Linked DNA regions of Schizosaccharomyces pombe. Changing the gene in region 4 together with the main gene of any one other region gives a genetic interaction. Each region holds a gene or a part of one and is shown on either strand. Other genes may lie near its edges.

The links.
Region 1: of rad31 (region 4) and cdc22, changing one enhances a phenotype caused by changing the other (phenotypic enhancement), as found in Schizosaccharomyces pombe (one study listed by BioGRID).
Region 2: of rad31 (region 4) and hhp2, changing one enhances a phenotype caused by changing the other (phenotypic enhancement), as found in Schizosaccharomyces pombe (one study listed by BioGRID).
Region 3: of rad31 (region 4) and rrp2, changing one suppresses a phenotype caused by changing the other (phenotypic suppression), as found in Schizosaccharomyces pombe (one study listed by BioGRID).

What each region holds. Positions count from the first base shown.
Region 1 is NC_003424.3:4,223,684-4,231,922, reverse strand, and holds cdc22 (ribonucleoside reductase large subunit Cdc22), read right to left. Parts: upstream 4,954-8,239; 5' UTR 4,942-4,953; coding exon 4,923-4,941; exon of another isoform or gene 4,607-4,922; coding exon 2,190-4,606; 3' UTR 1,934-2,189; downstream 1-1,933. Other genes in the region: hsp3105 (ThiJ domain protein, glyoxylase III), read right to left, coding at 318-1,073; Rho family GTPase Rho1, read right to left, coding at 6,804-7,341, 7,673-7,743. UniProt on the Schizosaccharomyces pombe protein: Provides the precursors necessary for DNA synthesis. Catalyzes the biosynthesis of deoxyribonucleotides from the corresponding ribonucleotides.
Region 2 is NC_003424.3:1,046,185-1,053,395, forward strand, and holds hhp2 (serine/threonine protein kinase (CK1 family) Hhp2), read left to right. Parts: upstream 1-2,813; 5' UTR 2,814-2,850; coding exon 2,851-3,014; intron 3,015-3,180; coding exon 3,181-3,904; intron 3,905-3,990; coding exon 3,991-4,305; 3' UTR 4,306-4,952; downstream 4,953-7,211. Other genes in the region: guanyl-nucleotide exchange factor Sec2, read left to right, coding at 1-394; atp18 (F0-ATPase subunit J), read left to right, coding at 1,132-1,201, 1,251-1,301, 1,346-1,407; SNARE protein Bet1, read left to right, coding at 5,545-5,555, 5,599-5,737, 5,787-5,990; mannosyltransferase complex subunit Alg1, read left to right, coding at 6,800-6,983, 7,060-7,211. UniProt on the Schizosaccharomyces pombe protein: Involved in DNA repair. May regulate the activity of protein(s) involved in double strand break repair caused by gamma rays.
Region 3 is NC_003423.3:3,836,442-3,845,813, forward strand, and holds rrp2 (DNA translocase/ SUMO-targeted ubiquitin ligase E3), read left to right. Parts: upstream 1-3,127; 5' UTR 3,128-3,195; coding exon 3,196-6,318; 3' UTR 6,319-6,400; coding exon of another isoform or gene 6,401-7,119; 3' UTR 7,120-7,165; coding exon of another isoform or gene 7,166-7,307; 3' UTR 7,308-7,664; downstream 7,665-9,372. Other genes in the region: splicing factor Cxr1, read right to left, coding at 1-823; protein N-terminal amidase nta1, read right to left, coding at 6,401-7,119, 7,166-7,307; U3 snoRNP-associated protein Utp10, read right to left, coding at 8,006-9,372.
Region 4 is NC_003424.3:1,195,007-1,201,557, forward strand, and holds rad31 (SUMO activating enzyme E1-type Rad31), read left to right. Parts: upstream 1-3,384; 5' UTR 3,385-3,452; coding exon 3,453-3,535; exon of another isoform or gene 3,536-3,585; coding exon 3,586-4,014; exon of another isoform or gene 4,015-4,067; coding exon 4,068-4,213; exon of another isoform or gene 4,214-4,291; coding exon 4,292-4,391; exon of another isoform or gene 4,392-4,447; coding exon 4,448-4,613; 3' UTR 4,614-4,727; downstream 4,728-6,551. Other genes in the region: Rab family GTPase Ryh1, read right to left, coding at 1-30; SPOM_SPAC4C5.03 (multispanning membrane protein, CTNS/PQ domain protein), read left to right, coding at 1,989-2,897; sulfite reductase beta subunit Sir1, read right to left, coding at 6,071-6,551. UniProt on the Schizosaccharomyces pombe protein: Could be involved in a ubiquitin-related process important for DNA damage tolerance. Acts in a process which is defective in the checkpoint rad mutants and which involves hus5.

The DNA.
Region 1 (8,239 bases), 3.0 Mb from region 4:
TGTCCCATTCGTACAGAGATAATTTCCAACGAACATCCCCAATATCTCAAATTTCAGTATATTTGTGCATATACAAAGCATGAGAATATATATAACTTTAAATACAAACATATGTACTCGGTATCAAACCGAAAAGTCTCTAGATTGTACAAAAAAAAAAGTGCAACAAAATTAATGCCAAAATAATTTTTATAATAAGCGTGAAATTAATAATTACAGTTATCGATTAACCAATGGTGCCATTTCAAACATTAGAAAAAATAAAAAAAATGTGAGAATCCCAAAACACGATCGGTTTTCCAAAAAAGAAATTTTGATCATCCATCATAATTTAACACAGCCCTCACCGCTTCCATTGCTACACCTTTGGCACTATTTGTATTCGATCCAGTAAACAGCTGCCCATCCTCCACAATGAAAGGGTCCTCAACGTATACAGGAGGAGATTCAAAAATGGCGCCAATGTTTTCGGCAATGTGACCAAAACTATAGAAATTAAGACGGTTCATCACATTCAAGACACCATTTTGGACTTCATCCTTCCAAGTGCAACCGGTCACACGGCGGTTCGTACACAAAGCTTGCCCATCAGAATTCGTCGTGTAAGCCAAGGCAATGTTAGCTTGTGCAACGGCGCATATAATTCCTTTTGTTTCATAAAACCGATACAAAAAGTCCTGTACAACTTTGGCATGGGGGAAATCAAAAGAACAGCCATATCCTCCAGGTATATAAACAATCACATAGTCCGAAGGATTCAATCGATCCAGTCTTGCGATATTCTTTAATTTCTTCATCAAAGAGCAATCAGGATTAGAAAATATTGATTGTGTTTCATCCACTATCGCCGGGTCTCGAAAGGATTTATCGTCAAATCCATAATCCCCAGTATCAGACGCAATTACTATGTCAAAACCATTTTCTTCAAATACTTTAAACGCTTCATATAAGTCTACTACATTCACGCCAGTGTTATCTCCATCATCATAAAAAGGGCCATAATAGCTATTCAGCAAGAAAAGTACTTTTGGTTTTTCCGACGTCTCTCCTGCTGCTTCATGTCGTTCATCCATTTTTTAATTCAATTTTCAATACAATTCAATGTCGCAAATTTGGGTTATCAGTTAAAATATCCTCGTTATATTTTAAAAATTAAGAAAAGGGGATATTTATCTGATGAAAAGTTATGTGATCAAACTGTCAGGAAATGTCCCTCAAGATGATTACACGAGTCTCAAAACTTATTATCTTCAAATGCGAGTTATTTTGAGCCTTTCAACGATCCTCTCGAAGCAATTTATGTGTACGCCTCCAGCACGAATCACGATGACATGCTTTTTAATTAAAATTACTACTTACTTTTTAAAATTATTCTACTAAATATAAAAACCTGCATAATGTAATATTGAAGCAACTATTTCATAAAGTATTTCCATATCAAGTTTTCTCCTAATAATGATATTGCTATAAACATCGTACTTCAGTTATTGAAAATACTTTCAACTGAAATGGTTAATTAATTTCGTACGGTTAAAATAATTTGTTTAAGTCATGCATGCTACATGATATCCTGTTTATCAACAATCAAATGAGCGACTTATCTCACTCCATTGCGTGCATTTGGTTTGACTTCTTTAACAAACACGCAGTTGCACTTTTCAAACGATCTACTTGAAAAAGGTAATAAAACACATGCTATAAAGATTTACGATGCCACAAATATTAAACCATTTACCATACCTCAATTTAGCCCGTTAACCAGTGAATAAACAAATACCACCTTACCCGTTTACACAAAATGAGGAACATCAGAAGCACTTACAAATTTTTTTATGAAGTATCTTTATCGAATGTACATCTTCCCTCGTACAAAATTTACAGTCTCATGTCTACAAATATACCACGTCGATAATGCATTGCATTAATCAAGAGACAAAAAGTAACTTATATTATTGGGAGTTTTTAAAACCCCGGAAAACATCAAAATTCCAGAAAATTCGTAATCTAATTTATGTATTAGAACCATTCTGAGCCTGCTCACTAGAATGGAAAACCAAGGTTGAATTTAAGACACAATTATGTATGTCGACAAATGAAAAGAATATTGAATAAAAACATTAAAAGAAACAATAAAATGTAGGATATTAAACATGGATGGGATTTAACAAATCCATTTTTGCAACAGTAAATTAGGCTGAGCACATTTCGCAAGCCTCAGGGTTCTTGATGGAGCATGCGAGCACTTTTTCATTATAAATGTCAATCTCTTCTTTAGTGGGCTCTGCAGAAATTTCAGCCTTTCCATTCTTTATAACTGGCTTCTTATTCTCTTCATTAGATTCTTCATTACGAGCGCGCAAGGCCACAGGGTCGACCGTAAATTTGATAGCAGCAGAAGCAGCCATAGTACGAAGATAGTACATTCCAGTCTTAAGACCCTTCTTCCAGCCATAAAAGTGCATACTAGTAATTTTTCCGTAGGAAGGATCCTTCAAGTGAATGTTCAAACTTTGGGATTGATCAATGAATGGGCCACGGTCGGCAGCATAGTCAATAACAGTCTTTTGACTAATCTCCCATACGGTTTTGTAAAGATCCTTAAGGTCTTGAGGAATTTCAGGAATCGCTTGGATGGATCCATCAAGCATAACAAGTTTGTTCTTCATGTCCTCATTCCACAAATCACGCTCAACGAGATCCTTCAACAGCCATGGATTGACAATTTGGAATTCACCAGAAAGAACACGGCGTTGGTACATGTTAGAAGTATATGGCTCAAAACACTCATTGAAACCAAGGATTTGAGATGTTGAAGCAGTAGGCATTGGTGCTACTAACAAAGAATTACGAATTCCGTGTTTAGCAATCTTTTCCTTCAACTCGGCCCAATCCCAAAGATCGGTGGGATTAACGTTCCACATGTCATACTGTAAAATACCCTGGGATGCAGGAGATCCTTCATAACTCTCATATGTACCCTCTACCTGGGCAATCTCGCAAGAGGCCTCAAGGGCTGCGTGGTAAATTGTTTCGAAGATTTGGATGTTTAGCTTCTTGGCACCTGCAGATTCGAATGGTAAACGAAGAGCGAAGAAAGCATCGGCAAGACCTTGAACACCCAAACCAACGGGACGATGGCGCATATTGCTACGGCGAGCTTCAGGAACAGGATAATAGTTAACGTCGATAATCTTGTTGAGGTTACGAGTAACGACCTTCACGACATCGTGAAGCTTTTGGAAATTGTACTTTCCGTCTTTAATAAATGTGGGCAAAGCAACTGAAGCAAGGTTACAAACAGCAACTTCGTCAGGAGAAGAGTATTCAACAATCTCAGTACACAGGTTTGAGCAGCGAATAGTACCAACATTCTTCTGATTGGACTTACGGTTGCATGAATCCTTATACAACATGAAAGGATTACCAGTTTCAACTTGTGATTGAAGAATGGCGTACCAAACTTTTTGAGCAGGTAATGAACGACGACCACGGTTCTCCTTCTCATACTTTTCGTAGAGGGCAACAAACTCGTCACCCCAAACATCTGCCAAACCTGGAGCCTCATTGGGGCAGAAGAAGGTCCATTGCTCGTTACGTTCAACACGTTGCATAAACAAGTCAGGAATCCACAAGGCATAGAACATTTCGCGTGCGCGGAAATCCTCGTTGCCATGAGTCTTTCGAAGTTCTAAAAAGTCCATAACATCGGCATGCCAAGGCTCCAAATAGGCTGCAAAGGCACCAGGACGCTTATTACCTCCTTGGTCAACATAACGAGCTGTGTTGTTGTAAACACGAATCATGGGGACAATTCCGTTGGAAGTACCATTAGTTCCAGCAATATACGAACCGGTTGCTCTAATGTTGTGAATATTAATACCAATACCGCCAGCGGTCTTGGAGATCATAGCACACATCTTGAGTGTGTCGTAGATTCCTTCAATAGAGTCGTCTTTCATCGTAACGAGGAAACAAGAAGAGAGTTGGGGACGAGGAGTACCGGCATTGAAAAGAGTTGGTGAAGCATGGGTAAAGTAGCGTTGAGACATCAAATTGTATGTTTCAATAGCAGCTTCAATGTCCTCACCGTGGATACCAACGGCGACACGCATAATCATATGCTGAGGGCGCTCAGCAACTTTGCCGTCGATACGCAATAAATAAGAACGCTCTAAAGTCTTGAAGCCAAAGAAATTGTAAGTGAAATCACGATCGTATATGATAGCACTATCTAATTCGTCCTTGTGTTTCATTACGATATCGTAGATTTTGTCAGAGATCATGGGGGCAGGCTTGTCTGTTTTGGGATTTACATAGTCATGAAGCTGTTGAACGACAGTTGAAAACACCTTCTCGGTTTGCTTATGCAAGTTGGAAACAGCAATTCTAGCAGCCAAAATAGCATAATCAGGATGCTTTGTAGTCATAGTCGCGGCAGTTTCAGCAGCTAAATTATCCAATTCAATAGTGGTAACACCGGGATACACACCAGAAATGACTTTTTGAGTGATTTCGACGGGATCAACATGATCGGAATCAAGGCCATAACAAAGCCTCGAAACACGAGCAGTGATTTTGTCAAAGGCCACTTTCTCTTGACGTCCGTCTATACAGTTAGTACATTATTGCTTTTCGATTCAATGTCAACAGTCAGTCAATTTTGAATACAACGCCACCAGCAACGAATCTGTCAGCAATCAACCGAACACTTGGAAGTAGAGCAAACGGCTAAAAGAACATTTGCTTAAACATCTCTGCACACAACAAACAGTGAATACTGAATGACACGCTTAAACAAATAGAAAAATCTCAGTTTCTTTAAACATTTACTCCCCAGTAAAATCACGACATTTTTCGAAACGGCAACGTTGTAACAAAATTTCTACTAATCTTCTAACTGTATTTTATTTCCTGTTTCATACCTCTTTTGTATACAAACATCGTGTTTGTTCTAGTTTGTAAGGTGGTAAATACCGGGAATATTTATAGTAAATGAAAAACGCGTTCAGACGCGTCACGCTAATATAACGTGATGCCGCGTCGCGTCATCCGAACTTTAAGTCATGTTGATCAATGTAAATAAATAAAGCTAAGAGTGGAAACCGGATCATTTTTGTAGCTCTACTATATCTAAAAGACGTTAATTAAGACTTGCTAAATAGATTTATCTTTTTCACTTCTGAACATCAAAGTTCCGCTAAAATAAGTCCGACTTTTAAAAATTAAAAAAATATTTTTTTAAAAAAACGCGATTAAACATGTTGAAGTGGTCTGACCTGATACAATACATTCAACTGTTACATTTATCTTTTATTAAACATAAAAAAAGTGTTTATAAATACTCTGTTTACGACTGAATGTAATAAATTAAATATTTATTTACGCGTCTCAATTGCAACGCGACGCGACTGTTTACATAAATTAAACACGCGGTCCAACCCGACTACCAACCTGCTCTATGAGATTGAACTACTAATTTCTCTAATATATCTAGATATCAATTTCCCCTTGTTCTTTATATTACTTTTTGATGTTGTCAATTACCTGTTGGAGAAGATCATAACATACAATTGATAAAGTATTGTTTCCTTGATTTATAAATTGTAAAGCTAAGTTGAGTTAGCTTTTTTGTTAAGACCTCTCAACTTTTAGATTTAAGATTTTGATTCCCATTTCTGTTGTAATATGTAACCTTACTAATGCTTTACATTAAAGCATGAAGATTTCGACTCTGCATTTTACTTATAAGCACTATAAAAGGTACACATAGAGATAGACAAACAGCTTTTAGTAGCTACAAAAACTTTGTTCTTTTCCCTTTAATTCACTATTTGCTCCCTCGCAATTATCCTTTTTTTTAGGTAAAGTCAACAATGCTTATATCTTCATCTGATAATCTTGCCTGTAGACAGAGTGAAAATCAAATGGTAATACAAATGCATAGATAGAATAACAACGGTCACCTTCAAAACATGAAATTGCAAACATTGGTATGCTTGACGTAAAGAGAATGAGATATAAACAGTGTGCAAATTTCCGCAAAATACAAAATGTTTAAACCATCAACTACGGCTATCTGCTACTTCGACTATCAACGTGTATAAAAATACCAAGCGCCTGTATACCAGCAAGGTTATCAACAGAGATAATGTCGCTTCAATTTTCTACAATAATTCTAGTGCAAAATTGGAGACCCAGCTAAAGTTCCACGATAATAAGCAATTACGTGCTGTGAGAAAGCTTATAAAATATTCGGGTTTTGATCGAGTTTCAATCGAGGTGTATATTCTTTAAATTACCGATTTATAAAAATTTACCAAGTCCTTTGACTAGGTAGAAAGGATAATAATGATGGCAATCCTTAACAAAAGAAACAAGGTATTATAGGAAAAATAAAACCATGCAATAACAAGGCAATAAGGGAAATTTTCTTCAAACTAATAGCGAAGAGTATAGCAAAGTAAGCAAAGACTGAAAACAAGACGCATACTCCTTGCAGGTGCCTATACGTTGCAGAACAGTGAGGGGAAATGGTAGAACAGCTATATGAAATGCGCTTAAATCATTGCCAAGCTGACTAAATGGCACGACTTGAGGTAAGTAAAAAGGAAAGAATGAGAGGATATAATGACTATGTAACATGATAGGCCACACAATGCAAAACTCCCACCAAGGTGAAGGTGAAATAAAAATCAACATAAGTCGAAAAAATACGGAAACTTGTTGAATGTGCTTCGACTGAAGAGATGTATAAAAACAGAAAAGATAAATTCTCTAAGTTAAAAAATTTGGAAACAAGCTGTTTACAACAAGATACAACGCTTCTTCTTCTTAGTTCCACTAGAGGGCTTCACTTTGGGCTTGTGTTTGAGCATAGCAGCACGAGTGGCTGATTCAAAAACCTCACGAACACCTTCATTCGTCTTGGCAGAACACTCAAGGTATTTGTAAGCACCAATCTTCTGAGCTACTGCTTGACCTTCTTCTGTGGTGACGGGATGCTGATTAGTCTTGGATAACTCCTCAATAATTTTTGGGTCGTTACGGAGATCAGCCTTGCAAGCGACAAGCAAAATAGGAAGACTGGAACAGAAATGGAGAACCTCGGAAATCCATTTTTCTTGAACATTGTCAAGAGAATCGGGAGAATCAACAGCAAAGCAAATAAGGATAACATGTGAGTCAGGATATGACAAGGGACGTAGACGGTCGTAATCTTCTTGTCCAGCCGTATCCCAAAGAGCCAACTCAACGTGGCGTCCATCAACCTCAACATCAGCTACATAATTTTCAAAAACAGTGGGAACATAGACCTCGGGAAAGGTTCCTTTAGAAAATACACTATAAAGAAAAATGTTAGAAGTTGTATAACAATGACACAGACTCGTGAAACATTGCAGATAAGCAAGCAAAGAGTAAGTAGAAATACAGGGTACGGAGTGCAAATTAAATCCTCGGAACATTTATTAAATGTAATCTAAACCCCATCTAAGTCTCATTTCTATGGGGATTCTTTCATTATTTTCTTGAGGCAATGAACATGCTTACGGAAATAATTTTCTTCTCCAGCCATGCTAAGCAAGAGATGTAAACCCTTGCCAATTTAAAACAGGCCCAAGCAACTACTTTACCCTTCTACTACCTTTCCGACGCTTGCACCATTTTTACTTACATTAATAAGCATGTTTTACCACATGCACCATCTCCCACAATAACGAGCTTTCTGCGAAGTTCTGTCGCCATCCCTAGATTTGTTTACTTTCTCCTGCTCTAGACAGAAAAATTTCGACGTAAATAAACGTTTTTCGACTCAAATTCTGACACCGCTCTTTCCTTCGATGTGGCAGTGGTTAGCTATTTACTAGGCTGTCAGCGGCTCATGTAACAACGAAAGGAAAGAAGGAGACGCTACTACACTTCACTAAATCTCGTTACTTTGCCCTAGCGCTCTTATAGATGAACCCTTTGAGTATGTATGGACGAGGCTGAGCCTGTACAGAGTGTAAAGTGCAATTAAAACAGTTTTATTACAAAAAGATTGTCTCCACTCCGACTTGATGTCAACAGACGTTTTTTTGTTTGAATCACAAACGCCAAAAAAAGCAGAAACCAGCGGAAAAATTTCGTTAACGTATTCAGTTTAGTCATAATATTCGAAGATAACGGAACGCATTTAATCCGCTTATCCTATTTTAACGTACACACTTTATTTCAGTATTTTATAAATAATAAACATAGC
Region 2 (7,211 bases), 150 kb from region 4:
TGAACCCACTTTACGGTTAGATCATGCTTCAGGTTTATCATGGCTAACACGTCGATCTGTGTTCACTGCTATATTAGAATCATCCTTGATCATCAACCCGCTTCATTCTACTTCCCTCCTATCGTCACAACCTTGCTCTTTATGTGGGTTTAACCGTACCCAGCCTTTACGACAATTCGAATTTCGTTCTCGACCTGATTCTACATCACATGCCTCTTGCACTTATTGTGTCGCTCGTCTTCGGAGTGTTTGTAATTTTGTTGCCTTTCTTCATCAAATATGCAAAGGGGTTTGGTCTTCCTGCTCTTTAGAAAAAGCTTGGGATGAGTGTTTGAAAAAGCGAGAAGCCATGTTTTTATCTCGTGTAGGACTTGCAAAAGAATTAGAAGGATAATTTCCTTGGCACGTTTCTTTTTTTAACATATTAAGTTTACGCGTTTGTCGACAGTTGAATTTTTGGTCTATTCAAAATCGTTAAGCAAAGGATTCTCGTATTTTTACTTTCTATCTTATGTACATGTACTAATTTAATAAATAGATAACTAAACTTCAATGTAAAAGTATATAAATAACAGATAAATATATTATTTAATTACCTTTTCAGAAGCTCTTGATTTACAAATTGATGAAAGGGCAGTCGATTTCCGACTACTCACCAAAATGTTTCATAGAGTACGCGAGTTTGACTCAAAGAGTTTTGTATTTTCATGCTATCTAACGAACAACAAGTCATATGATGAAAAAAGAAAAAATTCTCTTACTGTTTTCAAGTAGTTAAAAGAGACTCGACTGTAACTGCGAAAGGTTGTCTTCAGTCAATCAGTCTAATCCCGAATTTAAAAACAAACGCTAATATGTGTTATGGATGTAATTGTGTAAGTTCGAACTTTAATTTAGCATGTCCATTTAACTAGCACTTCAAAATTTGGTTCCATCAGACTGAAGCTACTACCAAAAAAGAGTAATTTTTTTTATTATTTTAGAATTCTTTTAAAAGAAAATAAAATTAAAAAAATAATACACTAGAAATCGACATCGTTGACATATCCTAATATTGAGACTCCCAGTGATTGCCTTTAACTTAACCTCTCCACTCCCATCTCCATTTAAACAGAAATCGGAATCAGAGAAATGTCGTTCTTTGGCCTTAAAAGATATTCTACTCCTATTTTAAAACCTATGCTTCCTTTTTTTCTAGGGGGTATGTATATTTTTCAACGATTTGAATTATTATTAACATGTCTTGACAGGAGCCATCGTATTCTATGGTACTGTAAAGCTTCGTGATGCTATGATGGATTGTACGTTTTTAATAGAAATAGAACAATTTTTTAACTCTATGTAGCTGCGGAGTATCGCAATGATCCTAGAAACCCAAAGGCTGGAAAGTACGGAAGTGATCATTAAGTTGATGACGAGTTCATGTCTTTCACTTCCTAAAATGTTTCAGCCCTTTTGATGTGATTTAATGGAAGTCAATGAAATTACACTGCTTGTTTTTGTAGCAGTTACAATTGATCAAAAGTTCTGTAATCAATCGAATTTATTTGTAGGAGATCAATCATTTAAATTAAAGTATTAAATGTATATTTAAATATGAACTTTTCAAATAAACAGAAGGAAAAAATGAATTTCCATGCTTTTTAGGAATACATGTGTTGCACGAAATAAATATTCACTTTGACTGAAAAGTTATGTACTTAGTCGTCATTTAATTCGCTCATTTTGTAATCTTTTAATTTACCTAGATAATTTGATAATCCTCAGAAAAAGTACCTCAAACATATTGTTCCTATTTTGTGTTTCCAATTAAGCAGATCTTTGGGCACGGATTTCAAAAGCTGTAAAATAACGTATTACAGAAGGTTTAGTATACACTTCTATATTGAAGCTGGTATTGTATTCTCTAGAACTGAGGCTTTTACTAAAAATAAAGCAGTATTAGCATTTTTCGTTTTCAATACTACTTCGCCATGTAGGCGATCGTTTTTTGCATTCACTCCAAAAAAGAATCATCGGAAAAACTATTGAAAGAGAATAGCAGTTCAATATGATTCTGTAAGTAAAATCCTGAACGTTCATAGAAAATCATTTTGGATTTGTTTGCTTTGTTTACAAAACAAATCACTTTGAAGTGATTCTCTTTGAGGATATGAAAAAATATGCTAGAATTCCACATTCTTCATAATGTAAACAAAACATTATTGCTTTTTGTATCAATAAATTTAATCCAAACCTCTTTTCTTTCCACTAGAAAACCACATGTCATTCATATTTTGTACTTTTCGGAAGAAAGTCAGAACAAGCTCCCACTCAGGTACTTCATGCTACAATGTAATGCACAAACAATTGAAGGGTAAAATATCTGTTGGAGCAAATGATTCCGTGACATTTCAGCCACATCACAAACGGCTTACTTCGGAATAAACAAATATTATTCTAACGGAAAAGAAAAAAAAAAATCCGCGTTCAGTAGAAGTCACTGCAAAAATATGAACCAACAAATTTGAATTCGCTTTGCTTACTAAATTTATTAAGTCTCATGTAAAGAAACAATCAACATCCACAGCCTTAAGGCAATCATGGTACAAACATTAAATAAAATATTCCACTCTTTTAGAAACGAGCATCTTAAAAAATTAGTTGACGAGGGAAGTAAACAAAGACATTGAAGTATTGCTTAGTAAAATAAAAAATTAGTCACATTACATTGTATATATCATGTATTCAAAACATCCTTCTACTCCAAATATAGCTCGTTGCAGCGCTCTATTTGCCTTCCTCTTTGATTTCTGTGATGATGCGATTCTAACAACCACAGTCATCTCTGTGAATTAGAATCTTAGCAAAATGACGGTTGTTGACATTAAGATTGGTAATAAATATCGTATAGGTAGAAAAATTGGTTCTGGCTCCTTTGGTCAAATTTACCTGGGATTAAATACGGTAAATGGAGAACAAGTTGCTGTGAAATTGGAGCCTTTAAAGGCTCGTCATCATCAGTTAGAATATGAGTAAGTAGTGCTTTAATATTTTTTTACTTAAGTATAAGTTGGATTTCTTTCGGAACTCCAATTTCTTCTTTATATCTATCAACCGTAGCTCGATGTTTTACAACCAAAAAGGAAAAGCAAAAGTTACTCCATTTGGTTATTTTTCTTTTTTCTTTCTAACATTTAGGTTTCGTGTGTATAATATTCTTAAAGGAAATATTGGCATACCCACAATTCGCTGGTTCGGTGTAACCAATAGTTATAATGCTATGGTCATGGATTTATTAGGCCCTTCTCTGGAAGATTTATTCTGCTATTGTGGAAGAAAGTTTACTCTTAAAACGGTTCTTTTACTTGCTGATCAACTCATCAGTCGCATTGAATATGTTCACTCCAAGTCATTCTTACATCGAGACATTAAGCCTGATAATTTTTTAATGAAGAAGCACAGCAATGTTGTTACGATGATTGACTTCGGATTGGCGAAAAAATACAGGGATTTTAAAACTCATGTTCATATTCCATATCGAGATAATAAGAATCTTACGGGAACGGCTCGATATGCTAGTATTAACACCCATATTGGTATTGAACAATCTCGCCGTGATGACCTCGAATCGTTAGGTTATGTTTTACTTTATTTTTGTCGCGGCAGTTTGCCCTGGCAAGGCTTACAAGCTGATACAAAGGAGCAAAAGTATCAACGGATACGTGATACCAAGATTGGCACTCCTTTGGAAGTCCTTTGCAAAGGTCTTCCCGAAGAGTTTATCACTTACATGTGTTACACTCGTCAGCTTTCGTTTACCGAGAAGCCAAACTATGCTTATTTGAGAAAGCTGTTTCGTGATTTACTTATTCGTAAAGGATACCAGTATGACTATGTTTTTGACTGGATGATATTAAAATACGTAAGTTTTGAAAAGAAAATGATAAGGTGATACGTTAGTTTAACCTTAACAAATGATTGAAAATTCGATTGACTAACTATTATTAGCAAAAGCGAGCTGCTGCTGCTGCCGCCGCTTCTGCTACAGCACCTCCACAGGTTACATCTCCTATGGTGTCACAAACTCAACCGGTTAATCCCATTACTCCTAATTATTCATCCATTCCCTTACCTGCTGAGCGGAATCCAAAGACTCCACAATCTTTCTCCACTAATATTGTTCAATGTGCTTCTCCCTCACCTCTTCCTCTCTCCTTTCGTTCTCCTGTTCCCAACAAAGATTATGAATACATTCCATCTTCGTTGCAACCTCAATACAGTGCTCAACTGAGGCGTGTTTTAGATGAAGAACCAGCTCCTTGATTTTTTGACTTTACTTTTCATCAATTCCTCTCTTACACTACGTCTTTTAGTCTTAAATTCCAAACCATCTGTTGACGTTTTAAAGTTCCACAAATATCTTTAATAATTCCTGGCTTTCTTTTTTGTCTATGGATGGCCGGATTGCTACACTAATACACTTTGAGGTTTAGCTATTGTTTTGAGCTATTCCATTTTGCCTAGAAGTTGAGTTTTAATGCCTTCTTTTTAAATAGACATATTGTGTAAACCTCATACATGCTTTACTGAAAAGACATAATTAGAGGACAAAATTTAAATCGTGCTGTTTGTTTATATTCAGCTCGTTCCGGTCAAGTTCTTGCCAAAGAATTGAGTCAGTCGTGCTATTCATTTCTAAATTTCTTCTTCCCAGAATTTTATTTTATTGTTTTCGTTCCCCATTGGTTCTTACATTCCGTTTTTATTCAAAACTGAAAAGTTTGTACCTCCATTGCTAGAAGTAATATACACAAGGAGCATGTTTCTTTTTTTACACTATCATTTGCGTGGCTCTAAACCAGTCTTTATTGCCTACCTTTGCAATAAAAGATATAATATCAATTGCATAAGAAATAATTCATTAATAAATGATAAATTTCATCGATTAAATAGATCGCTATTTTTCACACTGTATTATGGGCAAGTAGCGTAAAAAATATTAGCTCTGTTGGAGTTGACCGCTGGATCATCAAGTTTTACATACTATTTAATTTCGGCTGTAGCAAAGAAAAATATCCATCGATTTGCCATATTATCATATCTATTGCTTTCTGTGGTATTTTAACCACCGGTATTTCACTTCTACAAATGTAAACAAAGCACGTTGATTTGTTTACATTACAGTTGCCCCAGTAACACATTATGGATCAGCACCACAAAGAAAAATCATTCAAAATTGATGCTCAAATTCAATATTCTACAGGCTCAAGAAGGGATCTATACTTATTTTTACTAAACCCATAACTATCATCTCTGTTTCGTCTGCGGTAAAAAAAAAATTGTTTAGATTAATGTAAAAACAGAGCAAAATGAGATTTGTCACTTAGTACAACAATGTGTTACCTCTACACGCAACTCCTGAGTTGCGTCGCATGTTATTTGATGAGCTGACTTTGCGCACAAAACCAATACATAACAAAGAGATCTTAGGATTTGGAAGTTGCGCTACACCAAATACTTTTCATATTCGGTAAAGGGAAAGATTTTAAAAAAAGCTTCAGAATGGGATCAAGGTATGTACTAAATCTGATCAATCAATGTCTAACTAATCATTAGATTCGGTAGAAGAAAAGAACGCAATGGCGATATGTTGCCCTTGTATGAGTCTCAATCTCCTCAGCATTTAGACTCCTTGGAAAATGAAAATGATGAACGGATTTCAAAGTTAACTGGAAAAGTCAAGTCTTTGAAAGAGGTAAGATTTTTGCCATCATCAGGAAAAACATGCTAACTAATTTTAATAGCTTACTATGAATATTGGGACTGAGATAACGTCTTCTACTAAGTTGATGGAGTCAATGAACGACTCATTTGACTCGACCAAGTCACTTTTGAGCGGGACAATGACTCGATTAAAGAATGTTTCGAAGAATGGAGGAATTTCAATTTGGATGTGGCTCGCCTTCTTTTGCCTCGTTGCGCTTATCCTCGTTTTGGTAAGATTTTAGGCATTTTGCTTACTACCTTTACTCTTTTTTAGAGTTAGCATTTTTATGATTCATTTTATGGCGTGTATAATCTGTTAAAATTGTATACTTGAAGTTTCTTCATTCTCTTTTCTTCTAACATTTTCATTCTGATTATTTTAAACTTATTATCGATAGAAAAAAAACATTCATCCACCTTTGGTGTTTCCACACAAGTGGTTTGTCACGATAGGAACGCAAATCCTCAATTTTTGTTTTCCTAACGACTTTGTTTTTAACTTATTACATCCTGTTATTATAAGTTTCTATCTGTTATTCATGATACTAGCCCTTCACTCGTCGTCTTACCATTTTTGTAAATTGACGCAACTATTACATTTGAGTTTTATTCAAGTTTATCGGCATGCAGGTCATGTCTTTTGCATTTTCTATTCCCAAGCTTGAAGTATGGAATGTTTAAGTATGTGATACGAATCTTACTACTTAAATTTATTTGCTTATTACATTATTTCTGCGTCTAGTGTTCTTTTACTTCAATACTTGAAATAAAATTTTTTTTTTTTCTTTAAGAGTACAATCATGCTTCTATTCCTTTTCCTTTGTATTTTAAATGCATGTTATTTCGAGTTTCGACATATTGGGTAGGTTGCTGTTTAATAGTGTATTATGGGCACAATAATATTTACGTAAACCATCAGCGCTGTACACCTACCTATAGAAAGTTGTTTTAAGAAGATATTCGCTTTTTATATGTCTAACAGTATTTAATAACTAGTTTTCTTAAGCGGAAGTTTCGAAATTCGATCAGTAACCGTGAGTTTGTGTACAAAATGCTAGTATTGAAGATAGTTTTATTTTTATCTTTGGTGATATGGTTTAATTTAAAAAAGAGGACGGATAAGAAAAGAATTATTGTTCTCGTCCTAGGAGATATTGCAAGAAGCCCTAGAATGCAATATCATGCCGTTAGCTTCGCTAAACTTGGATGGAAGGTTGATTTGTTAGGCTATCAGCGTAAGTTATCTAAAATATTTGAATATTTTAATCTATACCACATTAGGTGTATTTGTTGTCACTAACACTGTCGTAGACCCCGGGTCATCTGTAGGACTTTTCGAAAGTCATGAAAACATTCGTTTTTATCCCATTCCTTCACTTCCTGCGTATCTTCAACCTAAGAACCGCCTTCAGTTTTTGTTTTTGGGACCATTGAAGGTTTTACATCAATTTCTTGCACTGAAC
Region 3 (9,372 bases), on a different chromosome or scaffold from region 4:
CAGGACTAAAAACATGAGCCTTACTTTTAGGAGTGGCTAATCCCACCCGAATAGGACGATCACCACAAATTTGACCCTGCATTTCTGCCAATGCAGATTTCTGATCATTTTCGTCCGTAAAACGGACAAAACCATATCCTCTTGACACATTTGTTTGAGGATCAGTCATGATTTTGGCCGACTTGCATGAGTTATATCGAGATGCGAAGAGAGAATACACATCAAACTCATTGACATTGGGTGACAAGTCTCCCACAAATATGGAATATTCTGAGGCCTTTGAAATAGACTTTTCACGTAATCCGCCTCCAGAGGCCCAATTAAGTTTAAACAAATGATTTGTACCAGGAATTGGTTTGTTGTTCATACTCATCGCGCTTGAAGCTTCATGAGGAGATGCGAATTCGACAAAACAATAGCCAGCATTCATGCCTGTGTACCTGTTACGAATAAGCTTTACTTTGACTGCCTTTCCTAAAGTATTCCAAACTTGCTGGATAAATGCTTCAGTAACCCAAGGCTCTAATTCACCCATCCAAAGCGTCGTTTTTTGATAGACGTTTTCATCTCTTGATGAGCCATAGTTGCTAGTATTTTCGGAATTTCCAGATTCGTTGGATGCCATATTTGGAGAAATCGGATCTTGAGATTGTACGGGTTCATCATTTGATTTATAATCATTGTCCACTTCTTGGTCATCTTGTTCATTGAAGGAGTTATCTTTAACCAAAGTATCCGTATTAGCTGGTTGTTGGCTTTGTTCGTCTATCGAATTATGCGATTCCTTGGGTAAAATTTCAGACTCAGTCGGTGAGGAAGACATTTTAAAAATTTTAGCAATTAATAAAAGAGTGGATTATACTAGAAACCAAAAAAAATCGACACACTATGCTCACGGTAGAGACAGAAGGCTGAACTAAGTTAGATGAAAGTTTCGACAATGGATATTTGTGAAGATGAAACAATGAATAAATCGCCAAAAGGACTAATTATCACCACAAAAATGAGATGATGTACTGTGTATACAAAACACAAACTCTTAAAATAACTTTGGTGAGTTAACGGAAATAACTTATACGGTTAGTTGTCCAAGAAAAAGTACAAACTGGATTGTAGTCGATCAAACACAAAGTGAAATGAACGAAGGTAGAGAAAATTATTAGTTGGTACTAGGCCAATTAGTTAACTCAACGATCCAAACGTAAAAAAATATGAATCAAAGTTAAGTAGTAAGTCTTCGATAACTGATAAAGAGTCTAGAAGAAATTCAAATAATAAATTAGGAGTTTCCAAAAAAAAGAGGTGTCTTTAATAAAAAAAAATCTAATTCAAGGAAAAAAAACTTTTCAATGTTTAATTGCAAACGAATTATCAGTTAATGATAATATATTAAATTAATTGAAAAGTCAACTCAAAAGTGAAAATGTATGCTTGTAAAATGCACACAATATGCAATGTCTAAAGGAAAACGGAAGAGAAAGTTCAATTTAAACGGCAGAAGGAATAACAACGATACTTGGGTATCGCTGAACGCAGAAACGAAAAACGAATATAGCAATTAACGTAAACACGAGAGTCTACTGCAATCAAAATAACAGCAATTGCGCTTTAAACCTACGAGCAAAAAGAAAGAGAAGAAAATATTAAAATAAAAGACCTCAAAAAAAAAAAAAAGCGAAATGCTAACTTCAAAATCAAAATGCAATTTTTAACTCAAATTTGACGCAATTCCCTCGATATTACTTTCTATATGTAGCTCAATTAAAATATAAGAAAATGAGAAATAATATAAGCACAAGGACAAAGGAAACAAAGGAATTGTTCAAATACGGGGTTTCGATGTTGTAGCGTAGGTAAGTTGACTTATCTATCAGCACATTGTTAGGCAATCTATTTATGCAATTATAAATTATTGATTTTTTTAAGGTTTTTCATTTACATAAGTATTTTTTTGAATTTTATTTGTGCAACCATGTTATTAATTATGTCTTTTGAATTTCTTTTCTTATGCAGTTTTGGATTCCTGCGCAGGGTTCCATCGCTTCAGTCATAGTAGTAAAATGAGGTAAATGATTTACGTTGCTTGAAATGTGCAGATCCTACGGATGCGTCATATGGTGCTGGCAAAAGAAAAATGCGAATTTGTAGGTTTAGAGACAGCTTAAATTTTGCTTTCACCGTTTCCATTAATTCTATAAACTTTCATTTTTCATACAGTTGTTTGTCTTTGTATCCACCTGGCTAAATACATTAGAGGTTAAGCGCCAACACTCAGTCATATAAATATTGAATAGTAAGCCGCTAAAGAGAATTCAAGCGACACTACTTGATCAATTTTTAATGAAAGATACCATTATAAATTTAGAAATACAAATAATAATAGTTTTGAAATTTGGTTCTGCTATCAATACCTACGCATTGCACTTTAAAGACAAAGTAATTAGGAAAAAGGTAATGAATATTTTTAATTTAAAAAAAAAAAAAAAAAAAAAAAAAAGAAATTTAGGTATTAAGTAAAGCCATATAGCTTAAAATGCATGGGTATGTAACAGTATTCATATAGATTAGTTGAATTTAGGGGGAAACAACTTTAGAAGAAAGTAGAACATATAAAAACATTAATTAAAATATTTGTTTATTAAAACAATTTACAGCTGCTTTGATACTGCACGGACGATGCTTAAGCTATTTGAAACGTTTAATTAGAAAATTTGCAAAATGCTGCTTGGGAAACTAAGCAAGAAACATCAAAAATTTTTAAAATCGCTTTTAATACTACAATGACAAATTAGAACTGGGTTAAAAATGCTCTCAATTTATTTATTTATTCCGTCCATTTTCATCTCGCTACTAACATTTTTCAAGGATTTAAAAGTTTCACAGTTCTGTTTTTATAAAATATGTATACAGATGACTCTTCAATACCCCTTTGATTTCTTTCAGGTTTACTGATCAGCATTTTTATAAAACTCTCCCAAAACAGAAATTATTATAATAAGAATTTTTTATGATTTAAAAAATTTAATTTCTTTCCTTCCATTTCGAATGATCACAAATTCATGTACACATTTACCCTTGTTAACTTACATTTGGTACTTATTCTAAACTTTTGGGGCGACTGAGTATCACCACACCAGTTTGCCTACCTAAAATTACACACTACATTTTAAACACAAAGCATTTTTTTGCTAATTTATGAGAAATAATACAGCTTTTGAACAATTTACGTTAAATCCATGTGAACAAATACCTTTAGATGACAAACATAACATTGGGTTCAATAAAAATAATACCCCGGACTATTCTTCTTCTGCATCGTCTGACCAATTGTTAAAAAATGATATAAACAGACATGAAATGGAAAGGAGAATTGCTTTTCTTAATCGAAAACAGGCGCTATTCAATGCCTTTATGCATGATTCATCGTCCTCTTTAAATACGATGGAATCTAACATAGAAAAAGTGAATGGCCTTTTTCCTAATGACAATAGTGTGATTGCATTAAAGCCTAATGAAGAGAAGCTGAACAGTTCTCTTTCCGTTGAAAATAATGATTCTACTTACACGGATGCCACTTTAATTGCTCCTAAAATTGGGCTTGATCGTCCAAACATCAATGCAATTACTATTGATGTTGATGGCCACTCTTTGCAAAACGAAATTAGTTCTTCAACAGATAAGCTTAGTCCGAGTCAATCTGATGCACTTTTTGAACAAAAACAGGACTCTTTGTTTTGGAACGACAATGCTGTGATTGTCGTATCTGACTCTGAATCCGATGATAATAATGTTCGGACGAAATCTTCACTGAACGACCATGATAAAGTTAATATGAAGGAAAAAAGGAATTTAGAGCTTGCGTTTATGAATTCGAAAAGGAAAAAACTAGAGTTACCTTCGTTACCAGTTTTATCTACGGCTGGACCTTCTTATACCAATTCTTTAGCTCTTCCTCCTTTTCATCATCATAATAATTATAAGATGTTTAACACAACTCACACTTTAGAAGATGATAAGTTTCTTCAAGGAAAAGGAACTTCTAATAATCCGATCTCTTTATCAGACGAAGAAGATAACGAAATTAATTTTCAGAATAAGCGTTATGGCTCGGATTCAGTCATTCTTCCGGGTGGTTTGTTGCATGATTCCAAGCTACCCGAACCTGGTAAACACTTATTCCACCTTCAATGGTATCACGATAGATTTCACAATATTGAAGGATTCAATTTGTCAGACTCAAATAACCAGAAAGTTCAAGATGATCAGCAACAACAGTTGGAGGAGTTGTTCAAAGATCTTGATGAGCAGCTTGTCAACGATCCAACAATTCGCGAAGGTACACCTGCTGGACTAATACCTACATTAATGGAACACCAAAAGGAAGGACTAATGTGGTTAAAAAGATTAGAAGAAAGCTCTAAGAAAGGAGGGATTTTGGCAGATGATATGGGTCTAGGAAAAACTGTCCAGGCTCTTGCATTGCTAGTAACAAGGCCTCCAGAATCTAAATCAGTTAAAACAACTCTGATTATCACCCCTGTGTCGCTATTACAGCAATGGCATAATGAAATACTTACTAAAATTGCTCCCTCACATAGACCCACTGTTTATATTCATCACGGAAGTTCGAAAAAGCACAAAATTGCTGAACAATTGATGTCGTATGACATTGTTTTGACTACTTATAATGTCATCGCTTACGAGTTTAAAAACAAAATGGCTTATGACAAGAGTATCGAAGATAACGCTCCAATAAAAAAATTTGAACACCTTCCATTTTTTGAAGCAGAGTGGTATCGAGTTATATTGGATGAAGCTCAAACTATCAAAAACAGGAATACGTTAGCTGCTCGTGGATGCTGTCTATTAGAATCAACTTATCGTTGGTGTTTGAGTGGTACCCCTATGCAGAATGGGGTTGAGGAGTTCTACAGCTTGATAAAATTTCTGAGGATTAAACCTTATTCAGACTGGTCAAGTTTTTCAAAGGACTTTACCATTCCTTTAAGTAGCAATATAAACACGTCCGCTCCTATGAAGCGCTTTCGTGGCTTATTAAAAGCAGTGCTACTTCGTAGAACGAAAAATACAAAGATTGATGGCAAGCCAATATTGACACTTCCTCCAAAAACCGCCGTCAAATCTGAAACAGACCTCTCTTCTTCTGAGATGGAATTTTACAATACGCTTCAAAGCGGAGCACAAATTCAAATGCGTAAATATCTTCAAGAAGGGACTATAACTACGCATTACGGTAGTCTACTAGTATTACTTTTGAGACTTCGACAGGCTTGTTGTCATCCCTGGCTAATTGTTGCTCGAGAAGCAGCGGTTGATGATAACGATAGCTTTCAAGCTAAGAATCGTGCAATCTACAACCAAATATATCCCGAGGCTGTCAATCGCCTTAAGTTAATTGAAACGTTGCAATGCTCCTTATGTATGGATGTTGTTGCAGAACTTTTGATAATTGTGCCTTGCGGTCATTTTCTATGTAGAGAGTGCTTAACCCATGTTATTACATCCAGTGAGGATATGGCTAAGCAAACAAGCAACGAAAATATTTCTCCTAAGTGCTCAGTTTGCGAGGAGTACATCGATACTGAAAGGCTTTTGAGTTACGCATTATTTAGACGATATTCTGGAATGGCACCTATTGTCGATGCCGATAACAAATTAAGAACAGAAAACATTTCCGAATTGCTACCTAAACAGTATAGTAATATCTTAGAGAATAGACAAATGGGTATGAAGATCTTTACGGATCCTAAACATTGGACCACTTCTACAAAAATTGAAAAAGCATTAAATGCAGTTAAAGAAATCATCAAGAAACAGCCAACTGACAAAATTTTAATATTTTCACAGTTTGTTTCTTTTCTTGAGCTTTTTACGGTACCCTTTCGACAAGAGGGTATAAAATATCTTATGTATACTGGTGGTCTAAGCACAGCGGAAAGAAATCAAGCTCTTATTAATTTTGAAGTTGATCCGAACGTGAGAGTTTTACTGATCTCTTTAAAAGCAGGAAATGTCGGGTTAAACTTGACTTGTGCAAATCATGTCATCATACTCGATCCATTTTGGAATCCTTATATCGAAGAACAGGCTGTCGATCGAGCACATAGAATTGGACAAGATAAACCGGTAAATATTTTACGAATTGTTACTAATAACACGATTGAAGAGCGAGTTTTAGCCTTACAAGACAGAAAGAGAGAACTAATAGATAGCGCTTTAGGGGAAAAAGGGCTTAGAGAAATTTCACGTCTGAATACAAAGGAGTTGTCATTTTTATTTGGAATGTCATCACGATAATAGAAATTTAACAGGCTTATTAAAACCAATATGTATTATATAATATGTTTTCATGAATAGAAATAAAAAACGTCGCACATCTTTATTTTTCAAGTTCTCCAACTACAATTCCATTCTCAGCAGCTTTCAAGACACCATGTAAGATAGCTCTTCCTTGAGAAAGTTCCATAATACAAGAGGTACCGGAAAAATTTAAATCATTCTCCTTTCCCCACCGATTTGCTACAAGAACGATTGCATCCGTATTCGAATTTATTAACGGTGAAAGTCTAGTGGTCCAGTAATGTAAATTTTTGATGTCGGGCAGGGAAGCATCAATGACTTTATCATCTGACACAAGCCATGCCATACTTAAACAAATAATTGGTCGTGATACATTCGAAGAAACCATTTGTTGATGCTCTAGCTCACGCAAAATGAAGTTTGCATATTCAAACTTCTCAAAAGGAGCTTTAAAATCATACGGGTTAATGTCCATACAAATTGCCATTGAAATAGGGCCCAGTTCAGGAATACAGGGTTCAAAAGAGAAACCCTTGCCTTCAGTGGCCCATGATTTGTCTGTTTCAAAAAGAAAGTGCTTGTGGTAAACGTTCAACAACTCTTTTTTGGGAGAAATGAGAGCTGTACTATTGTAAAGAGTAGAAATGCCGTTTGAGTTTTGAAACTCAGGAAATCCAATGATGGTGTAGCACCGATATTGCTCAGAGACTTCTTGAGCAAATTGAATGCTTGGACAATGATTGCTAGTTACGTTTTCTAAAAAGGGTTGTATACTTTCTGAATTTTTAAAATTGTAGCCTACAGGAAAGTTAGCTAACTCTTCTTAATAATAAAGACCACCCACCAGTTAAGCACATTTCAGGGAAAACCAATAGCTTAACAGACTGTAATGCTTCAGAATGTTGATCCAAAAGCTGGCGAAGATGAACGATGTTTTCGTTCACCTTTCCCAACTTGGGAAAAAATTGTACACATCCAAACTTCATTAGTACTGTCGTTGCTGTTTAAAAGGATGCACTAGTAGTACAAACAAATTTTAAATTGAGAAGTGTTGACCGTTTTTATGACATCGAAGTGGCAAACTCTTAAACAAGTCCTTAGCGAGGCTTTTTTTTACCAATTCGATAGATAAATGGAATTAGAATTTTATCTCTTGTATATAAAAGACCGACAAGAAACTGGCCAAATCACCATTTCCTAGACAAAAACTGACTTAAGCAAATTTAAAGACGTATGCCGTTCCACTAGATTACTGCTATGTAGGATGATTGCACTTTACGAAGTCGCTCAGATATACAATATTTCGATACTTCAATGAAATTTACTGGGTTTTAATACACTGGTTTAAACTTCAAAATTATTTTGCTGCTGTCAAACATTTGTAAACTGCAAAAATTTCTCTCTTAATTTATAGTATTATGAAACCGAAACCAACCAAACTATTTATAATCCCAAGATAATTGAGAATTGATGAATACAACCCTAAAGGTCATTGATGAGAAGACCCATTATGGATTGCAATCAACATGATCGTCTTTTCCTTTTTTTTTGGCAGGGATTAGACGAAAGCGTATATATTCATAACGAATCAATAATTATTTTTTTTAGAATGAAAAATTTAGAAAACGAAAGATTCCGTTTAAAACTCAGCCTGTGAAAAACGGACCCACAACCTCTACAATCCTTATGTAAGGTAATCTTGGAGGGATTCATTCTCACCGAGACGGTCATCTATTATCCGCACGAGCTCAGCCGTAGCAGTTTCAACCTGATCATCATCATCTTCCATTAGTTCAGCAATAAATGGTACTGATTGAGGCAATGTAGAAATCCAATTCTCACCAAGGCGCCCGTAAAGCTGTGTCTGTATTTGGATAGCTAATAAGCGAGCATTGATGTTGGAGGATCGAAGATATTGCAACAACTGAGTATTCATTGATCTAAAGTTGTCGCTTGATGAGGCTACACTAGCCAGTTCGACAATAGCTTTTACTAGGACCTTGTCATCAAGCAAAGGAGCATATTGTATTTGTTCAATTAGAACGGGGCTTATTTTACCAAAACGTGCGGGCACCATCCAAAACTCCTCAGTGTCGTTTTCAAAAGCACTAACGAGACTACTGTTCACTAGATGACGAACTTCACTATTCGTATCTTTCGATGAAAGCAATTCAATCGTGTCATCCAAAACGTAAGCATAATAGTTAGTAACAATGGATTTTAAAGTATCAAGGAAAATGGTTAAAAAGTTGTAAAAAAAAGTTTGCCGAGATACTATTCCAGATGGATCAGTTTCGTACAAATCTTCCAATGCCCATGAATGCAAATGTAAAAACAAAGGACGGAAAGTTGTATCACTCAACTTCATCACGAATTTCAGAAATACATTAACTGCTTGAGTTTCCACATTATCAACGTCTTCCGCAAATAAAAGCGACCGCCTACTGTCAAAGGAATCCAAGAAAAATTTGAATATTGACTTATAAACAGTCCCAATAGCGCTCCTGCTAGAATTTTGTAATGCCAATTCAATCAACTCTAAAAGACGGAGTGCCGCAGTAGAACCAAGTCTTGCACATTCAGGCCATGCCGCAAATATAGATTTCATCAACAATCTAGTAGGTATAAAATTGGCAATTGTTTCAAATAAAAGCTCACCAATAGCATCATGTTCAAACGCACGATCAGAAGCTAAAGCGCATTTTATTGTCGGCTCGACATAACTGCTGCTAAACTCCGGTAATACTTTGAAAAAGTCGATCATCATAGAGAAACATGCTAGCTCTAATAAATCGCCTTCCGGATCTTTTCTAGCATCATCTAAAATAGATAAAGAATAATTAACTATATCGGCCAAGTAAGGCAAGATGCGAGCAGCAAGAGTATTGGTCAAGACGGTGATACATACTATGGCAGATACCTGTACATCACGTGCACTATTCTTTAATCCGTAGGGACCTGAAACCACCTCAATAGGGGAAATAAACAGTTCAGGACTCGCACTAAATCGCTTGGCCATAACAGCAAGACAATCCATAGCTAACTGAGTCG
Region 4 (6,551 bases):
ACGCAAAGAAAACGAGTAATTTTCTGACATTATGACAAAAAGTTTTGACTTCTAAATATACACAGACAAAAGTAATTTAGATACAGACGGAATTGCTTATTGATGATCAAAAAGCACCGTACTTAATAGTGGTAGTAGTGAGTAAAGACTATCGTGCTACAGTGAGATCCCGCCGCATATCCTTAATATACTTTCGCTTGTTTTACTTTTCATTCGCTTTTACGAAGTTTAATCTCGGTAAAGTAATTCTATAACAAACAACTTTTTCGCTGAAAAAGAAATCATGAACTCTCACCGTTCTTAAATTACTAAGCATTCCTAAAGATGGGTTCTTTTTCTTTGAGTTGTTGATAGTGATAGGTTTTTGGGTGTTAAAAAACATACAGCTGTAACAACAGTTTGTTTACTACTCATAGTTTTATACACAACATTTCAAGGAATGACAACTGGGATAAAAACGCGCCACATCGCATGGGAAGGAGGAGTCATCGAGATTTGATTATCATTAAACTATATAATACAAGAAATCTCTCGATTGGAATGGCCTAATTTTTGCTGAGAGTAGCTAAGTTTACAAAAAAATATTGGACACGCTGGGGATTGAACCCAGGACGACTCGCATGCAAAGCGAGCATGCTACCACTGCATCACATGCCCAAACATTGAAGGCTTCAGCATATTAGTAAAGTATAAGGTAATTTTTTTGTTTAGTAGCTGATGAAAGAAGGAAAATGGAAAGTAGTTAAACCATAGAACAAGCTTGAAATTCAACATAATGGCTTTATTCCATTTGAAATTTTATTAGAATGTTTCATAATCTACGCATCCTGTCTGCTACCAAGTTCAAGATTGGCAGACTGCACCAAACTGTTCGAAAAATGTATGTTTGTTAACTTGAATAAAACTAGCTGTTAAACGAGTCAGATTTAAGCAAAATATAAGCTTTACAGGAAAATATACTCGAGTTAATTTAGCAAACTCGGTCATTTCATTAATGATACAATTAGCTACGGAACAGCCAAGTCAAATTTTATACTTAATGTCAACAATAACAGGTTAGTTAGTGGGTTTTAATTTAATAATTTTCGAAATCAATAAAAGAGTAAATAGTATGGCTTTTCAAGCTTAGATTCTTTTAAAAATAAATTTTTTTTTTATTTGTATCCTTATTGCAATATGACGAAAAGTTCAAGAAAGATAAGAGAATTAAAAACTAAGTTATTTCATAATTATTAGCTGCTGTTTGGAATAAAAAATCTCGGAATTTAATGATAAGATGAAAAAGAATTTAAAAAGTAAATATGTAGTTATATATCCTATAAAAAATTTGGTTCAAACGATTAATTTAGATTATTTAGAATCTTTAAAAAGATAATGGGGTTAAAAACAAAAGAACTTGATTTTAGATTCAATTTAGAAATTTTTTTGTAAAGTGTCTTGATGTATTTCAATTTTTAGATGTGTAGCGCCATTTCATTTCACTCATGTTTTTAAAAGAGAAAAAAATTTACCTAGTTTATTAAGATATACAATTCATTCAGTTCCTTTTATCTTCTTCTATAATTCATTGTTTATTTACTTATTTATTTTCTCCAATGTCAAATTTATAGCACTTTAAATATCGCAAAATTTCAATATTATACGTTACAGCTCACAACTTTGTGTCTAAGCCCTCCGACTAATGTAGCTTACACTGCCTCTCCTTTCCCCATTTTCGACAAAATTAAATGAAAAATCCAATTTTTTGGCGATTCTTCCTTTTACTTATTTATTAAACACCAATTATTTCAAAAGGAAATTTTAAATTGTCTTTCCTTAGTGACGCTTGTTCAATAAGCCCCAAAGTTAGCAACCTTTACTTCATCGTACCATTATTGGCAGCCCAGGCATCGTTTATTTATATATTTTTATACAAAGCATTAGAAATTAACTTCGTATTGCATTTCTTTATTACGATTTTATTATAGGAGACGAAGTACGTATGAACGATGGAGTTTAGCACGAGCAGTTTCATTTTTGATGATGATACACCACCGAAGTGCCCTTTGGCAACAAAAGCTAGCTTTATCTTTTCAGTGTATATTATCATAGGCCTCATCATTTCTTACCTGTTACAAATCTTTCGCATTGTTCGTCTCGGAAGTTCGCAAGGCTTAAGTTTTTCTTACCTTATTTTGGGTTACATAGGTGTTCTTAATGCGTTCTCAAATGTCATTGCTCTACAAATTAGCCCTTTAACTGAATGCTGTCAAAATTACTATTCCAAAAAGCAATGCTTTGCTAACACAACCGGTTTAATTCAAGTGGGTTCTCAGGTACTTATTATGGGTTGTGTTCTTATGGCTTTCTGGATGTTTCTCCCTCGACCTATTCACTTTGTTGCAGCAGATGACGAAAATGGTTTACCAATCCCTGAGCCTTTAAGTGTAACGAAAAGTCGTAAATGGCGAAAAGCATCTTATGGGCTACTTGGTGTATTTACTTGGGGATTGTTTATCATCTGTCTATCCGCAACCGTCCTTAGTTCGAACTTTGCTTGGGCAGCATTCCTTGGATTTAGCGCTTCATTCTGCGCGGTCGTTCAGTATGTTCCTCAAATCATAAAAACTATACGCCATCAAAGCCATGGTGCCCTTAGTATCCCAATGATGATGATGCAAACTCCGGGTGGATTTTTGATCGGATATTTACTATCCAGGTTGCCCGGTACTAATTGGACTACGTACATGATGTATATTGTCAGCGCATGCCTTCAAGGATTGTTATTAATGCTTTGCATGTTTTATTTGCACAAAGAAAAAAGTAGAAGAAAGAGGGAGGAATTGCAGGCCACTTTACAGGAAGAAGAAAGTCAGCGAGCTGTACGAATTTTGGAAGCCGAAACTGGTCCCGAATAATAACATTTTCTTTATGTTTTCACGTCCCTTATCTATTTGTTTACCGAAAAAATTCCTAATATTTGTTTCATTCAGTTAGTAAGGTTTACTCTTCAAAAATTTTTTCCGCACATTAGAATTGGATTGCGTGATGTTATACGTTTTGCTTTTAAATCCATGAACCACTGGTATTTATTTTATTTTTTCCCACTTGATGAATTTCAGCACTCTTAGTCAGATTCTAGTATTCCCTTTCCCACATTGCTATAGATTTGCTTATTTGTTACTTAATCTAATCTGTTTATTTTATGTAGAATAACATTGAAAACGCTGTTTCGCTTCTCAATTACCAAGAATATGGTGTGAATTAATGCCTCTACCAAACATCCTTGACTTGGCCATAAGTCTCTATATAATGTATCAGTAATGAACTCGTTTGTTATTTAATTTCCATATTAAACACTGTTAGACGATTAGCTAAATCTGCCTTTTCGATATTTACTACCTTACCCCAACTTATATCTGATTCACGATAGACATAGCTGTATTCAGTCCACTAACCCCTAAGAAGAGGACATGGGGAATCACAATATTAATGCTGAAGAAATAGCTTTATACGATAGACAGATTAGGCTCTGGGGCTTTAATGCTCAACAAGCGTAAGTTGGCTGAATTTACGCATGATAGCTGGGTTCTGACAAAATTATAGACTAAAGCAATCCCGCGTCCTATTAATAACTGCTTCTCCATTAGCGAATGAAATAGCGAAAAACCTGGTATTATCTGGAATAGGAAAACTTTGTGTATTAGATTCAATGACTGTTTATGAAAAGGATGTCGAGGAGCAATTTTTTATAGAAGCTTCAGACATTGGCCAGCTCCGCGCTAATGTCTTCAAGAAAAAGTTACATGAATTAAACCCTTTAGTAGAAATTGATACAGATACGTCTCTGATATCTGAAATTGACGAAGGAAAAATCTCAAAGTTCAGCATGGTTATTGCGACGCAACTTGATTATGAAGAGTTCTGCCGAATAAACGAATTAACCCGAATTTGTAATGCCAGTTTCTACGCAACTAGCTGTTTTGGTCTTTATGGGTTCGCTTTTTGTGATTTGATTAACCACAATTTTGCAATGTAAGTCTTGTCTAAGTGATCTTCAATTTCAACACCTTTGCTTACATTTTTAGTGATCGAGTCGTTGATAATACTAAAGTAGAAGAGGATATGTTTATTGTTCAAAAACCCATGAAGGAAGCCTTTCAAAGCATATTGGGCGAAACACTAAAACCCAGGTTAGCAAAAAAGATTCCTACATTATATCCAGCGATGTTATGTAAGTCATTAACTGAGTTCAATAAGGTTAAATATGATGAAGTTGGTAAATTTTTACAGTTGCTAATTGTTAATTTAGCTTTATTAAAAAGTAAAAAATCAGATCCTGACTCGATTCGACAAGTTTGCATCGAGCAAAAGCTGAACGAGAAAACAGTACTAAATGGAGAATTTTTATCGTAAGTAAACGGAATTACTTTGACTACTTGATCACTTTTTTACTAATTTTATTTAGAAAATTTTCTTCCAATATCAGCTTTCAATGGACTCCGGTTATGTCCGTTGTTGGCGGGGTTGTTTCACAAGATGCATTGAATTCAATTAGCAAGAAGCAGTTCCCCATTGATAATTTCTGGATTTTTGATGCCGAATCAGGCCTTGCTCCAATTTATCGTTTGTAACACCACCTATGCCCAGATATTCTATACCGCAAGGGTATTCTGTTATTTAGCATCATTCTATGAAAAAAATTTGGAGAATTTGTCTTTTGCGAAATTAAAAAAAATAAACCGCCCTTATCATGTTATTAATTGATACAATTATTTACAATAGTATTGCAAATAAAATTAAGTCTTATATTCAGCAATATCACTTACTTTATCCTATATTTATTATATCTATAACAGCTTTTTATCCTAAAATTGTCAAACGCTTCCTTTACTTCGAATGAAAAGACTAAGATACTCGACTGCCATTAAAAAAATAATAGTGAGACTTAAGCGATTTTATGGCAGAAATGTTGAATTCGTTAAAGACAGCAGTCACAATTTTGTATACTCAACTCTTAAATTGCAACCTCAGCTTCCTTGTATATATGGTTTGTAATTATGGTTACTTGTTAATAACAATCAAAGTTATTTAATTTAAAGATTGCTAATGTTCTTAAAATAGCTTATACAGGTAAGCATAATTTAAAAACAGAAGTTCCTGTAGCTTTACTACTAACAATCATTGTGATGATAAAACGACGAAAACAGCTGAATTCCTCATGTTGAATTCGTTATATTATTTTTTAAGTTTCAGCCTTGTCTGATCATGATTTTTTTTACTTCTTTTTTCTTTATTTTTTTGTTATTTTTTCTGACGTTTTTAGAGTTGAATCCTAATTTTTTAAAAAGTTGTATTTTAATATATTTCCCATAAGGTAAGTTAAAAATTTTAGGTTGCTTTTCAAGTTTAAGGATGATACCTAAGACGCAACGGGCGGACTAAATGGGTTACTACAATGCTTCAACTGTACAATGAAGTTGTAACTCACATGTTGTTATCGTGTCTTACTGAAATACTTGATTAGCATTAAATTTTGTCTTTTTTTTTTTTGTTTGTATCTAAAGTATTAACTAAGATTTTAGATTTTACATAGTTACTATTGTGCTACATTTTTGGTTCAGTAAATCTCAAATAGACCGTTTTAATAGATAGCAACTTGCCATGATGAGCCATTTTATATTTTGTATTCACACTGTCTGAATTTCTTGAAGATATACTGAAACTCTGAGCAAAGCCTGATTATTCATTCGTTTCTTACATTTGGTAGTCAACAATATTGTTATATTCCTTCTCATAGTTAATACGTCTATTTAAATCCAAGTATGCTACTAAGAAAATCCTGGATATAGTAACATAAGATCAAGTCGATACCATAATTTATAATTTGATACAAAGAAATATGATTTAAAGTACTTTGAATCTAAATATAAGAAGTTGATAACATATACAATTTTTATAGATATCGTATGACAAATCACTATGTTAACCTATTAATCTAAAACCAACAATCATTGCGATACTAAAACAGACTCATTTTGACAATTATAATAGTCAACATCTAACCACCAACCTTGACTAAAATAGACGTCTAAAACGCTTCAGGTGATACCCCTTCATGAACAGCACCATTAGCTCCTCCATTTTCAACAGCTGTAATGATACCTGCACGAATAACCCAATCACCAAAGTGTTCACCATCTTCACGCTCCAAGGCGTAACGCTTGATAAGCGGACGCAACAAATTGAGGATTTCTTTTTCTTGAACGGAAGAGCGATATAGCTTGTTTAATCTCTGACCGTAAAATCCTCCACCAAGCATTAGATTGTAAGTATTTGGTGCCTTACCGACACACGCAATTTCAGCAACCCATGGACGAGAGCATCCATTTGGACAACCAGTCATACGCATAACAATACTATCTTTCTGAAGACCAGCTTCGTAAACAATTTCTTCTACTTTCGTAATCAACTTGGGAAGATAACGTTCACTTTCAGCCATGGCTAAACCACAAGTAGGGAGAGCAACGCAGGCTGCAGAAGAAAGACGTAAGCCAGAGAATGCATTATTA